Ovis aries: one gene and its partner. The protein of the gene in region 2 purifies or fractionates together with the protein of the main gene of each other region. This does not show direct contact. Links are inferred from orthologs where the notes say so. Each region holds a gene or a part of one and is shown on either strand. Other genes may lie near its edges.

Region 1 (6,195 bases), on a different chromosome or scaffold from region 2:
TGTCTTATTTCACTTAGCATAATGCCCTCCATAGAGAAGGAAATGGCAACCCACTCTAGTATTCTTGCCTGGAGAATCCTGTGGACAGATGAGCCTGGTGGGCTGCTGTCCATGGGGTCATACAGTCGGACACGACTGAAGCGACTTAGCATGCCTGCATGCATTGGAGAAGGAGATGGCAACCCACTCGAGTATTCTTGCCTGGAGAATCCCAGGGACGGAGGAGCCTGGTGGGCTGCTGTCTATGGGGTCGCCCAGAGTCGTATACGACTGAAGTGACTTAGCAGCAGCAGCAGCAATGCCCTTCAAGTCCAACCATGTTGCTGCAGATAGCAAAAATTTCACTTTCATGACTGAATAGTATCCCATTCTGTATGTACGTATGACGCCTTCTTCATCTGTAGATGAACACTTAGGTCACTTCCATTATCTTGGCAATTGTAAATAATATTGCTACGAATATTGAGGTGTGTGTATCCTTTCAAATTTAGTGTTTGGGGTTTTTTCAGTATATATCCAGGAGTGGGATTGCTGAGTCCTGTGACAGAGTTCTAGTTTAGCTTTTTTTTTGACCCCAACGAATGGCATGTGTAATCTTAGTTCCGCAGCCAGGCACTGAACCTAGGCCCCCAGGGTCCTAACCACTGGACTGCCAAGGAATTCCTCTAGTTTTCGTGTTTTGAGAAACCGCCATACTGTTTTCCACGGTGGCTGCAGAGACTTTATCGTGTTCACAGATGTTTCCAGTGCCTAAGAATGTATTTGGCACATAGTAAATGCTCCATGGGGCTTCCCTGGTGGCTCAGATGGTAAAGAATCCGCCTGCAATGCGGGAGACCTGGGTTCGATCCCTGGGTTAGGAAGATCCCCTGGAGGAGGGCATGGCAACCCACTCCAGTATTGCTGCCTGGAGAATCCCCACGGACAGAGGAGCCTGGTGGGCTACAGTCCATGAGGTCAGAGTCGGACACGAGTTAGCGACTAACCACAGCACAGCACAAATGCTCCATACGCATCTGTCAAATGAAAAACACCTGTGTCCTGAGACTGGCCGACAAAGCAGCCTCAGCCAATACTTGCTGATTGAACGAAAGCTCCATGCCCTCCTCCACTTAAATCCTCCCTGACCTTCAGGAGCAGGCTCCAACCACCAGATGACCCTGAGGCCCCCAAAGCGCCTAGTCTTATCACCCTGAACCCACCCTAGTCCAACACCAGGTCTGGGGGTTTGGTGTCCATGAAGACCCTGGCAGCCCATTCCCACCTCAGACTCATCCTGAATCAGAGCAAGTTTCTAGTCATACTTTATTTTCCTGTTTTTTTTTTTTTTTTTTTAGTTTTTATTAAATAAAAGGAGCAGAGCAGGGAGCCTGTCTGTGGTCTCTCAGGCTGTGGGAGAGCCACAGGCCCTCCTGCCTCTGTTCAAGGTGCACTGCATGGTAGGCTTGAGGTGTAAGCTGGGCGGGGAGGGCAGCTGGGAGTGCTGGGAGAGGTCAGAGCTCAGGACCCGTGACCCCCTCCAGCCCTCCCAGGAAGACTCAGTGGGCAGGCAGGGAGGCTCCTGGACGCCGACTGGGGCTCATCCTGAGGGCTGGCGGGGGGCCAAGGCTTTAGCTCCGAGCCGCAGGGCGGGAGCCCAGACCCAGCCCGGTCCCTTCCCACCCCAGTGTGCAGTCATTGGGGATGTGCAGGGCAGTGGGGTGGGCCCTTCATTCGTGGACGTCCCAGATCTCAGACAGCAAAGGTGGCAGCTTCTTGTCCTGAAGCCGCAGGGCGAAGACCTGCTCCGAGTGCACGGAGCTGAGCGTGCGCAGGCTCACAAGCTTCATCAGCATGCGGGGGAAGCGCAGCTGGTCCTGCAAGGAGACAGGAGTGGGTGGGTGCCAGGCGGCCCACCCGGAGGACCCCCACCCTGGAGAGGCAGTGTGGGGGCCCCTGGGCAAGGACTTGCCTGACTCCTTAATGATGGGACAGGGGCCTTGAGGACAGGCTGCTGAGAGGACACTGATCAGAACTCAGCTGCTGGGGTGAGCCAGGGACGTAGGAAGCTGACCCTACACAGGTCTAGGTTTCCTTGGGAGGGTCCGGGCTCCGGTACCTGTGGCCTCTTGATGCGTGTGTAAGACAACAGCGCGTCCACGTAGGGCTGCTGCAGGGCCTCGACCCGGCTGGGCTCCTGCACGTTGGGCCGGTCGGCTGAGAAGATGTTGATGGCGATGAGCAGGGCGTACTCCGCGTCATCCAGGCCCAGACGCCTCATGGCCCGTGAGAACTCGAAGATGGGGTTGATGAATTCCACCTGCAGGCCTGTGGAGACAGGAGACTGGCTCTGATAAACACTCTGACCTAAAACTGGCCCCCATGCCTGGCCACTGGCATTGCCCTGCCACTGGCATTGCCCACTGTCAGCAGAGCGAGGGAACCAGCAGCAAGTAGAGCGTGCTGGTCACCCTGTAACCCCACTGCCCATCAAGGGCTTGGCACGTCGTGGGTATGCCATATGTCTTGCCTGAATGAAGCAATGAGTAATAAGTGTGAACATTTATTCAGAAGTTTCTACCACCCCGTCACCCTCTTCGCTTCCTTCCTGGTACCTCTCCTCTGGAAAAGGAAAGGTGTTTAATCCCAGGTCACCTTACATCACCCCCTGAGGTGGCATCCCCTGCTCTCACAGTGAAGCGGAACTCATTTCCAGGTGTGACTCATTCATTCATCAAACTTGATTGAGCACCCACTGCGCATCAGGTCCCAGGCAGAGACATTCTAAGACAAAGCCCCCTGCTCTCGTGGCACTTGCATCTGGGGCTTGAAGAGACAGATAATAGACAGGTCTGCAAGTACGCCATCCACCCTGTGAGATGGTTCTAGTTCTATGGATTGAGGTAACGCAAGGGAAGGTAACGGAGAGAATCACGTCCATATTTTAGACATGAGGGTCACCACAAGGTGAGTGTCGGAAGGCCTCCCTAGCTGCAGGGTGTCTGACTAAAGAGGGGAGGGAGGGAGTTACCAGGCTGTGCGAGTGTTCCAGGGAGGGTGCTACCAGTCTGTTTTGCCTGGGACTAGGCTTCCTAGGCCCTGGACTTTGAGTATTAAAGCTCAGGAGACTTGCTTCTTGCAGAGTGGCTAAGAATCCACATGCCAGTGCAGGGGACACAGGTTTCATCCCTGGCCAGGAAGATGCCACATGCTGCAGGGCAACTAAACCCACGCACTGCAACTGAGCCCAACTGCCTAGGGCCCGCACTGGCAACGAGAAGCCCGCGCACAGCAACTAGAGAAAGCTCGCACAAAGCAACGAAGACCCAGCGCAGCCAAAAACAAAAAAATCTTTAAAAAGTAAGAAAAGCTTGGAAGGCCCCAAGCAAACTAGGACGAGATGGTCAACCTAGTTCTGGAAAGAGGGACCAGCAAACAGAAGCTGTGAGGCGACAGCACATTGGTGGGTTCAAATAACAGGGAGGCCAGCGCGGCTGGGGGAGGGGGAGGGGAGGGCGGGAGGAACGAGGCCACACCCTGCAGGGCCTGTGGGCCAGGTGAGGACTCTGGCTTTTCTCCCACCCAGTGTGATGGGAGCCACGGATGGTGCTGAGCACAGGAGGGACGTGAGCTAACGTGGTTGTTAACTGGATCCTTCTGATGACTGTGAACAAACACACCAGGCTGGGGTGGAGGCAGAAGCCCAGCAAGGGGCCCTGCAATGTTCCCAGAAGGACCAACTGAGGCTTGGACTCTGGCAGTGGCGGAGGATGGGGCGGTAGGAGGAACGAACCTCCGCTCCAGCCCCATCTCACTGCGCTGCAGCTGCCGGAACCTCCCTGTCGTTCCTTAAAACCACCCGCTCTTCCCCACCCAAGGACCTCTGCACATGCTGAGGCCCCTGCCAGAAACACTCTCCCAACCCCTAGTGCTCCCCTGCCAAGCTTATACTCAAAGGGTTACTGGGACTGCCCTGGGTATTGGGAGAGCCAGGAAATAAGAGGAAGGAAAGATGGGGTGAGGAGAAGATGTCCAGGAAGACAGAGAAGTGCCCCACGGAGAAATGACAGGAGAAAGCAGGACTCTCTGAGAACGCCCAGAAGCAGAGAGAGAGGCCCTGCACTTGCGTTCCCTGGTAACTAACACTGCTCCCCACCTCCCTTTCCCTCTGGTCCCACTGAGCCATACTCTCTCCAGAAGCCCATCGCCTCGGTTCCCATCCCTAGGGAAGTGCTCTTGGAGGGCAGGGACCGGGTTTGCCCTGTACAGTTGGGGAGGTTATGTATTTCCCAATGGACTGAGATCCAGCCTCCCTCACATGAGACCAGGGCTGGGGAGCAAAGAGTGTCTTTCCTTAATTCCTACGAAGATGTCCTATATGACAGCACATACCCCTCTGTCGCATCCTGCACCATGTCCCCCCTGTGCAGGGTCAGGGCTCAATAATCTCACTGTGGTCTTAGCTCTCACTGTGAGGTGGGAGGGCTCAGCCCTCACCCTAGTCTGGAGGTGAAGAGATGGAAGCTCAGACAAGGATGTGAGGGCCCGGGTCTCCTGGCCAGCAGGGACCCCACTGCCCAGCCTGCGCTTGGCCGTACCCGCGCGGTGGAAGTCATCCTTGCTGTAGGTGAAGTCCTTTAGGAAAGTGATGCACTCAGTCTCGTGGTTGTAGCGTCTGGCCGTCTCCAGCAGCATGATCTGAGGATGGCGGAGGGGATGGGTGGGCAGGGGCTAGAGGAGCCCTGTGGCCCCTCGGCCACTGTCCCTCTGCTGGCCTGAATGGGGGGGCCCGATCTTGCTGGGATCATCCCCTGCCCGTCTCCACCCCACCCCATCATCTCTCAGCCACAGGGCCTGCAGCCAGCACGCTGGACACTCCAAGCTCTCGCCCTTCCCCAGGTTCGGCACCCCCAGCCTTCTCCACTCAGGACACTCCCCCCAAGTGCTTACGAGGCACAGGGCAGAGCTTTCTCTCAGTCTGCTCCATTCACCACCACGCCCTCAGCACTGGGAATAGGACCTGGCATACACTAGACACTCAGCACTTACTCATTACCACAGTTTTGGTTCAAACATCAACTCCCTGAACAAGCCTTGTCAGCATGCTCCCTAAAGTGTGGCCCTCCAGCCCAACCCTCAATTATTCTCCATCTCAGGCCCTGTTTCCCTTCTCTCCTAACCTCACAAGAGGCTCTGATGACTTATTTAGCATTTGAGGTTCTCCTGGAGAATACCACCCCCACCAGGGAAAAGGCCTAGAGTCTGCTTTGTCCCTATCCTCCCGACATCTCTCCTGGGGTTTATCTCGGGACTTCCTCGAGGGCAGGATGGAACGGCCTCCCCGAGGCTGGGCAGGCTGGCTGTTACCTCAATGGTAGAGGCTTTCAGGAGGGCGATCTGGTCTTCGCGACCCAGCTGCAGGAAGCCAGGCACCTGCTTGGCAAAGTCCACGATCTCCTGCACGGAGATGATGGCCAGCTCCGTGAAGTGGGCGAAACGCTGCTGGCGGGCATCACGGGACTGCGGGTCTGCACCCAAGGGCCAGGGCTGGGGACACGGGGGTGGGGGGGCGAGCAGGTTACTCTCAGGACGTCTCCCGCGAGCCCAAGGCTACCCCGTCTCAAAGTGCCTGTTCTCTGGAGCCTCATTCTCTCCCTGTGCCCTGGACTGTGGCCCTGTCGACTTGAGCACACTGGGTGAATTGTCCCTCGAAGCTGTGGAAGGGGCCGTACCGTGACTTTGGGCTGGTCGGAGAAGGAGCGTTTATTGCACTGTAGCTGGGCCGCCACCAACTGCTGGATCATTAGTTCCTGAGCGGCTGTTAACTGGACACCTTCACCTTCTCCTGAGCCCTGGCCACCCCCGTCAGACCCTCCAGGGGAGGCCCCAGGCCCAGAGGCTGGGCTGCTGCTGCTGACTCCCAGCCCCATGGGTGACGACTGCTGCTGCTGCTGCTGCTGCTGCTGCTTCCGAATCTTCTTCTTCCGGATCTGTTCTTTGGAGAGGACGCCTGGTGGGGAGAGACAGGCCTCAGCAGAGGCCCCAGGGCTGGGCAGGGGCTGGCCTGGCCCCACTCCCTCCCCAGGACTCACACTGCTCCCGCATCCCTGCCTCCTTGCATTTCCGCAGCCGGCATTGCTGGCACTTGCGCCGCATGAAGGCGTCCATCTGACAGGTGCCACCGCCCCGGCAGGCGTAGCGCCCGGCCCCGCCTCG
Region 2 (5,601 bases):
AGACACACATGAACACACACCACACACCGGTAATCCTCACTCCTTTCTGGTCTACGGTTACTAGAACTTTTATTTTTCATACCCTATCCTTTTGGTCAAAATTGGCCCAATCTCCAAGTTTAAAAGGCATCATGACGAGCACATGCCAAATACATCCACACATCCACATGTCCCCCAAATACAGAGGCACGGTGTTACGGACCTTGGAAAGCTAGCCTCACATCAGTTTTTCTTCTTCTTCTCAGTAAGTGGTAAGCCACATTTTCAAACAATGCAAATAAAACTGAACAAGTCCATTTTATCTTAGACTTTCTAGGTAACCTTTTAGTGCTTAGTCACTGTGCTGCCAAGTGGGGACTGTGGCTCTATGGCTCGTGATTTCTTGTGAGAGAGCAAGAATGGGGCAGAGGTGTAGTTATTGCAGGCATCTGAAGTATGTCATGTCTCTTCCAAATTCTGGAAACTCTTTCATTCTCTGTTGTGTGAGGGTGAGAGTGAGTGAGTGAGTGAGTGAGTGTGTGTGTGTGTGTGTGTGTGTGTGTGTGTGTGTGTGTGTAGTGATTAGACTGCAGAAGTAGCAGGGTTACTCTCCTTGTATCTCTCCCAGCTTCTTATTGAGCCACCCTTTTACTTGCAGGGTTCATTCTAGTTTTTCCAGGTCACCTGGATTTATCTTGTTTTTCACCTTCAGAAAGATTAGCCAGTATTTTCCAAAGGAAAATTTTTCCAAAGACACCCCTAAGCAAAGCTTTACTCTAGAAAGGACATATTAAGATGGGGACATGCCTGCTGTCACATACCCTGTAAGTGCATAAGTTGTAAAGCTGAGACTTGAACCTTGAGTCTTAGAGTCTAGATTCTGTGTCCCTTTGACTTCGCTGCATTTCGTTTTCTAGTTTGGAATCTGAAATCTGAAATGTTACTGACAGGAGCTGCCTGAAGTGTGTTTCTGCACCATCTGTCATAACAGTTGTGCAAGGCAAGCTGATAGTGAGATGACCTTGAAGACACTGAACTTTCATGAGACAATGAGTTGGATTTTTGGTTTTGTTGGTTTTGTTTTAGTACTTTAAAATCACATTTAGCTTAATGACCTCTGATAGTTATCTAGCTACTAAAGCAAGCCCTCAAAGAACTTTGGCATCACCTTGTTAATAGTTTTTAATCACTGCATTGCCACGCTCATGAAGCATTCCTGTCAGGGTGCACAGGTCTGCCCATCTCGGGCTTGGTCCTGGTGATTTCCCTTGCATGCAGGACCAGAGTTGTTGGCTCAGGAGCCTGGCTCACTCTTGCCTTTAACCCTCCCCTACCCTTCCAGCTTCCTGCGGGTCATGAGCCGGTCCATGCCTCTCTTCATGACGCTGGCCTGGATCTACTCAGTGGCTGTGATCATCAAGGGCATTGTGTACGAGAAGGAGGCGCGGCTGAAGGAGACCATGCGCATCATGGGCCTGGACAACGGTATCCTCTGGTTCAGCTGGTTCATCAGCAGCCTCATCCCTCTGCTTGTGAGCGCCGGCCTACTGGTGGTCATCCTGAAAGTAAGGCTGCTTCACTGGCTCCTCCCTGTGCCCCCCCTGGCTACGGGGCAGAAGGAAAGCACAGATTGTTTGGGAGGGATAGAGTCAGAGGTGCAGTTCCTGCAATTCCTTCATTTTATAATTGATGAAACTTGGAGAGACCCTGAGAAGGACAGCAACTTGCCCAGTGTCAACCCAGTTGGTTAGTAGCTAAGCTGGACTGAACCTAGAGCATGTGCTTAACCACACCATGCCATCTGTTTGGCAATGGCTTGTGACAGTATCTGAGAGTTACTCATTTTCCTAGGTGCATGTATTGGTTGATGATTCTGCCAAAATTTCTAAAAACCATAATCAGAAGGATAGATACTGTTGTAGGTTAAGATTTTCTGGAAGCAGAGGCTGAGATAAAGTTTGGTGTATGTTTATTTCTTAGGGATCTATACCTATAACAAGGAACAGAGAGGATGCAGGATTGAGCACAGACAGGAGTTGAACTGTGGCACATGGCTAAGCCCCTGGGCACTCTGGCCATGGAGTTGAAATGTCCAGCCCTTTAGGTTACCCCGAGGCCTCCCTCTCTGACAATCCATTGTCCCAGGCCCCTCAATTAGTAACTGGAAAGATGTGCCCCAGGGCTGGGCAGCTTTCTGCAGCTGGGACAAACCCAGATCAGTTGCCGCCTGAGGCTGTCCACTGACAGCCAGTCCGCAAGCCTTTCCATGAAGGGGACTCTGTACAGTGAAGTTCTGTGTCCACCCCTTACTTTAATAGACTCACGTGCCAATTTTTTCTCAATTGTTTCATTAAAGAATACATCTTTTAAAAATAAATGTTTTTAAAAGCAGAGGGGTACCAAGGAAAAGGAACTAACAATTAATTGAAAAACTAGCTACTAATCATTACAAGTGAGCACGTACTGATTGCCGAACACTATTTGAAACACATGCGTATGCTGTCTTATGACGTCCTCACTAAGTAACCCATTTAACATACAAGGAAACGAGGCCAAGGAAGGTTAAGGACTTCACTGAGGTCACCCAGCAGTATGGCAGAGCTGTTCTTGGGGAAATCAAGCTCCCCTCATGCTTTGATATCTGACTGGCAGGCCTGAGCTCTGTGGCTGGGATGGGGGTCTTGTGGCTGGTGGGTGTGAGCTGCTCTGCCAATTGTGTGTTGGTAGGTCCTTGTGAAACAGAACCAACTACTTGGGAGAAACTTGACAGGTCCACAGAGTTTGGATGGTTATGTGGCTCCAGAATCCATGGCACATTCTCACGGGGGATGTTAAGATGGCCTGGCCATTTTCCTTGGCTTTCAGACAGAGAGGCCACGTAGGATGCTATCTCCTGCAATTCTTTCTTGATGCTCATAGTCCTTATAAAAGGTGATATTATTCTTGGGGAAACAATGAACAGAATTGTCTGTTGAGATGAACCTTGGTAAATATCAAGCCTGGACTTTGTTCTGTTTCTGATTCTGCTGTTCTTTGGCTGTGTGGTCTTGGGCTGGTCATTTCCCTTCATTTCACTCACCAGAAAAATGAACAGCACTGTTTCTCTATATTGTCTTTTAAGATGTCTAGGAATAAGCCCTGGCTGCTTCCCATGGATCATTGCTTATTGAGAGTCTTCCTTGATCTCTTTCTTCCCAGTTAGGAAACCTGCTGCCCTACAGCGACCCCAGCGTGGTGTTTGTCTTTCTGTCTGTGTTTGCCATGGTGACCATCCTGCAGTGCTTCCTGATCAGCACGCTCTTCTCCAGAGCCAACCTGGCGGCCGCCTGTGGGGGCATCATTTACTTCATGCTATACCTGCCCTATGTCCTGTGCGTGGCGTGGCAAGACTACGTGGGCTTTACCCTCAAGATCTTCATGGTGAGTTGCTCTGGCCCTTTGGCAGTACCTGCAGTCACAGCCACCCCTGGTGTTTCACCTCTGCTTTGTAGTCCAAGCTGAGAACAGAAGATAAGAGATTCTCTTTCCATGGGGACTTAAGCCTCAATTCTAGATTGTATGCTTCTTGAAGGCAGGGACTGTGTCTTACTCAGTAGTTTATCTTTAGTCCTCTGAGTGAACACTGATTGAATTGAATCGAATGATAATTTTGAGGGAGCCAGGCTGCACCATGGGCCATCTGGGGGTAAATGGCCCTGGGGAATGACTTTAGAGCATTCCCTTTTATCTGCCTTTTGTCTCTCAGCTCTGGTTGGCCATGTTACTGCTGCTGTGTTAAGCTCACCACAAAGTCCCAGTCACAGATAAAACTGAAAATTCTTGAGGTCAGAGCTGGCTCGTTCTGGACCTTTATCTTCCTTGTGTCCAGTATGGAGTTTAACTTGAGTAACGTTTTCTAAACTTCAAGACTGAGGAACAGGTGCCCCATCTCCCCACAAATCCCTGACTTTACTCCCTTCCCTTGTACAGAGGAGGAGAGACCTTTGAAAGTATGCAAGTCCCAGTAATAACGAGTTGTTTTCTGAGTTTTCTATAAGATGCTCCAAGTGTTTCTGTCCAGACCCATTAGGCATCAGCAGCCCCAGACAGGTTCCTGTGACACTGGGCCCGTTGCTGACTGAGCTGGGAGCTTGAGAGGACCCTGAAAAATGCCTCTGTGTGTATGTGTGTGTGTGTGTGTATAAGGTACAGTTGCTGAGCCCCTGAGGCATCTTTAGAAGCATAAAATTCTAAAAGTTTTATATGCCATCATATATGCATTTCTGAAATGTGTGTGCATAATGAGTGCTTATAAATAGAATCACTTTATATGCTGTCAAGGAGCCCACTCCCCTGAAGGGACTCTGTAGATGAATATTTCCATATCTTGTAATTGATCCATTTTGCAAATTCACATTTCTCCAGGTGGCATTTACATTAGTAGTGATAGGAAAATGAGAGACAAGGAGATGGATGAATGAATTTTGCCTCTTTTGCACAGAGCCTGATGTCTCCTGTGGCTTTTGGGTTCGGCTGTGAGTACTTTGCCCTTTTCGAGGAGCAGGGCATTGGGGTACAGTGGGACAACCTCTTTGAGAGCCCCACAAAGGAAGATGGCTTCAACCTTACCACCTCTGTGTCCATGATGCTGTTTGACACCTTTCTCTATGGAGTGATGACGTGGTACATCGAGGCTGTGTTTCCAGGTACACTGGACTTCCACACTGCTTTTGTCTTCATCCAGGAAAAAGAAATTTCTAACCGAGTCATTTTCCTCTCTTTGTGCTGGAATTTCTGCAGGGCTCAGGTCTCCTTGGAAAGTGGTTAGGGCTTTAGACCTATGGCAAACAAATTATCTCTAAGAAGAAGCTACTGATGCTAAAAGTACAGCTTTTACTATTGACCTAACTCTCATTTCTTGAGCACTGTGTGCCAGGCACCTGCACATGTCTTATAAATGATGCTTTGGTTCAATTTAATACTCATAAGACTGCTGTGAGGGAGCTACTGTTCTAGCCAGTTTTTGCAAATGAGAGAAGTATGATGCAAAGAAGGTAAATAACTTACCTGTGGCCTCATAACTGGTAAGAGTAGGTGCTGGGAGGTGAACCCAAGTGAGTTACACTGAGTCAGCTTGCCCAGGAGAGTTCTTCGAAGCTGAACCAGGCCTAGAATTCTGTATCCCCCAAGTTACCACCAGCAGAAGTTCTGTTTCCTGAGTACAGCTTGTGAATAACAAGATACATATTGGCGCTAAGCCCTTGCCTGTGCTTTAATCGAAAGTCATAAAAGTTCATTTTTATACTTCCCTAATAAATCTTCTTGACTGAGACCTCCCTTGGATATATTTTCATAGAAGATCAAATTCTGAGAGAGTGAGCTTTAACCCTTTCTGGTTCACTTTCTGATTTTTCTTCAAAGGAGTGGCCATGAAATATTGATTACCCATCCCTACTTGAACTACCTGAATGTCCCACACTGAATGTGCAATTTTGTATTGTACAGATCTGGATTCCGATTCTGAGTTCTTCACTTCACTGCCTGAATGATCTTGACTGGGCCACTAATCCCTCAGTTTCCTCATCTCTAAAGTGGGAATAATGACCTGCCTTATGGGGTTGCTGGAAAGATTCAGAGAAGTGC

The links. Proteins that work in one complex are often made in the same cells at the same time.
Region 1: the proteins of ABCA1 (region 2) and NR1H2 purify together in Homo sapiens (affinity purification with western blotting; 3 studies listed by BioGRID and IntAct, with this or other methods). This does not show direct contact. The link is inferred for Ovis aries from reciprocal best matches to the Homo sapiens genes ABCA1 and NR1H2.

What each region holds. Positions count from the first base shown.
Region 1 is NC_056067.1:56,279,651-56,285,845, reverse strand, and holds the end of NR1H2 (oxysterols receptor LXR-beta), read right to left. Parts: coding exon 6,072-6,195; intron 5,990-6,071; coding exon 5,712-5,989; intron 5,527-5,711; coding exon 5,347-5,526; intron 4,678-5,346; coding exon 4,578-4,677; intron 2,308-4,577; coding exon 2,099-2,307; intron 1,857-2,098; coding exon 1,710-1,856; 3' UTR 1,289-1,709; downstream 1-1,288. UniProt on the Homo sapiens protein: Nuclear receptor that exhibits a ligand-dependent transcriptional activation activity. Binds preferentially to double-stranded oligonucleotide direct repeats having the consensus half-site sequence 5'-AGGTCA-3' and 4-nt spacing (DR-4).
Region 2 is NC_056055.1:18,188,632-18,194,232, forward strand, and holds part of ABCA1 (phospholipid-transporting ATPase ABCA1), read left to right. Parts: intron 1-1,321; coding exon 1,322-1,544; intron 1,545-3,177; coding exon 3,178-3,399; intron 3,400-4,459; coding exon 4,460-4,664; intron 4,665-5,601. UniProt on the Homo sapiens protein: Catalyzes the translocation of specific phospholipids from the cytoplasmic to the extracellular/lumenal leaflet of membrane coupled to the hydrolysis of ATP.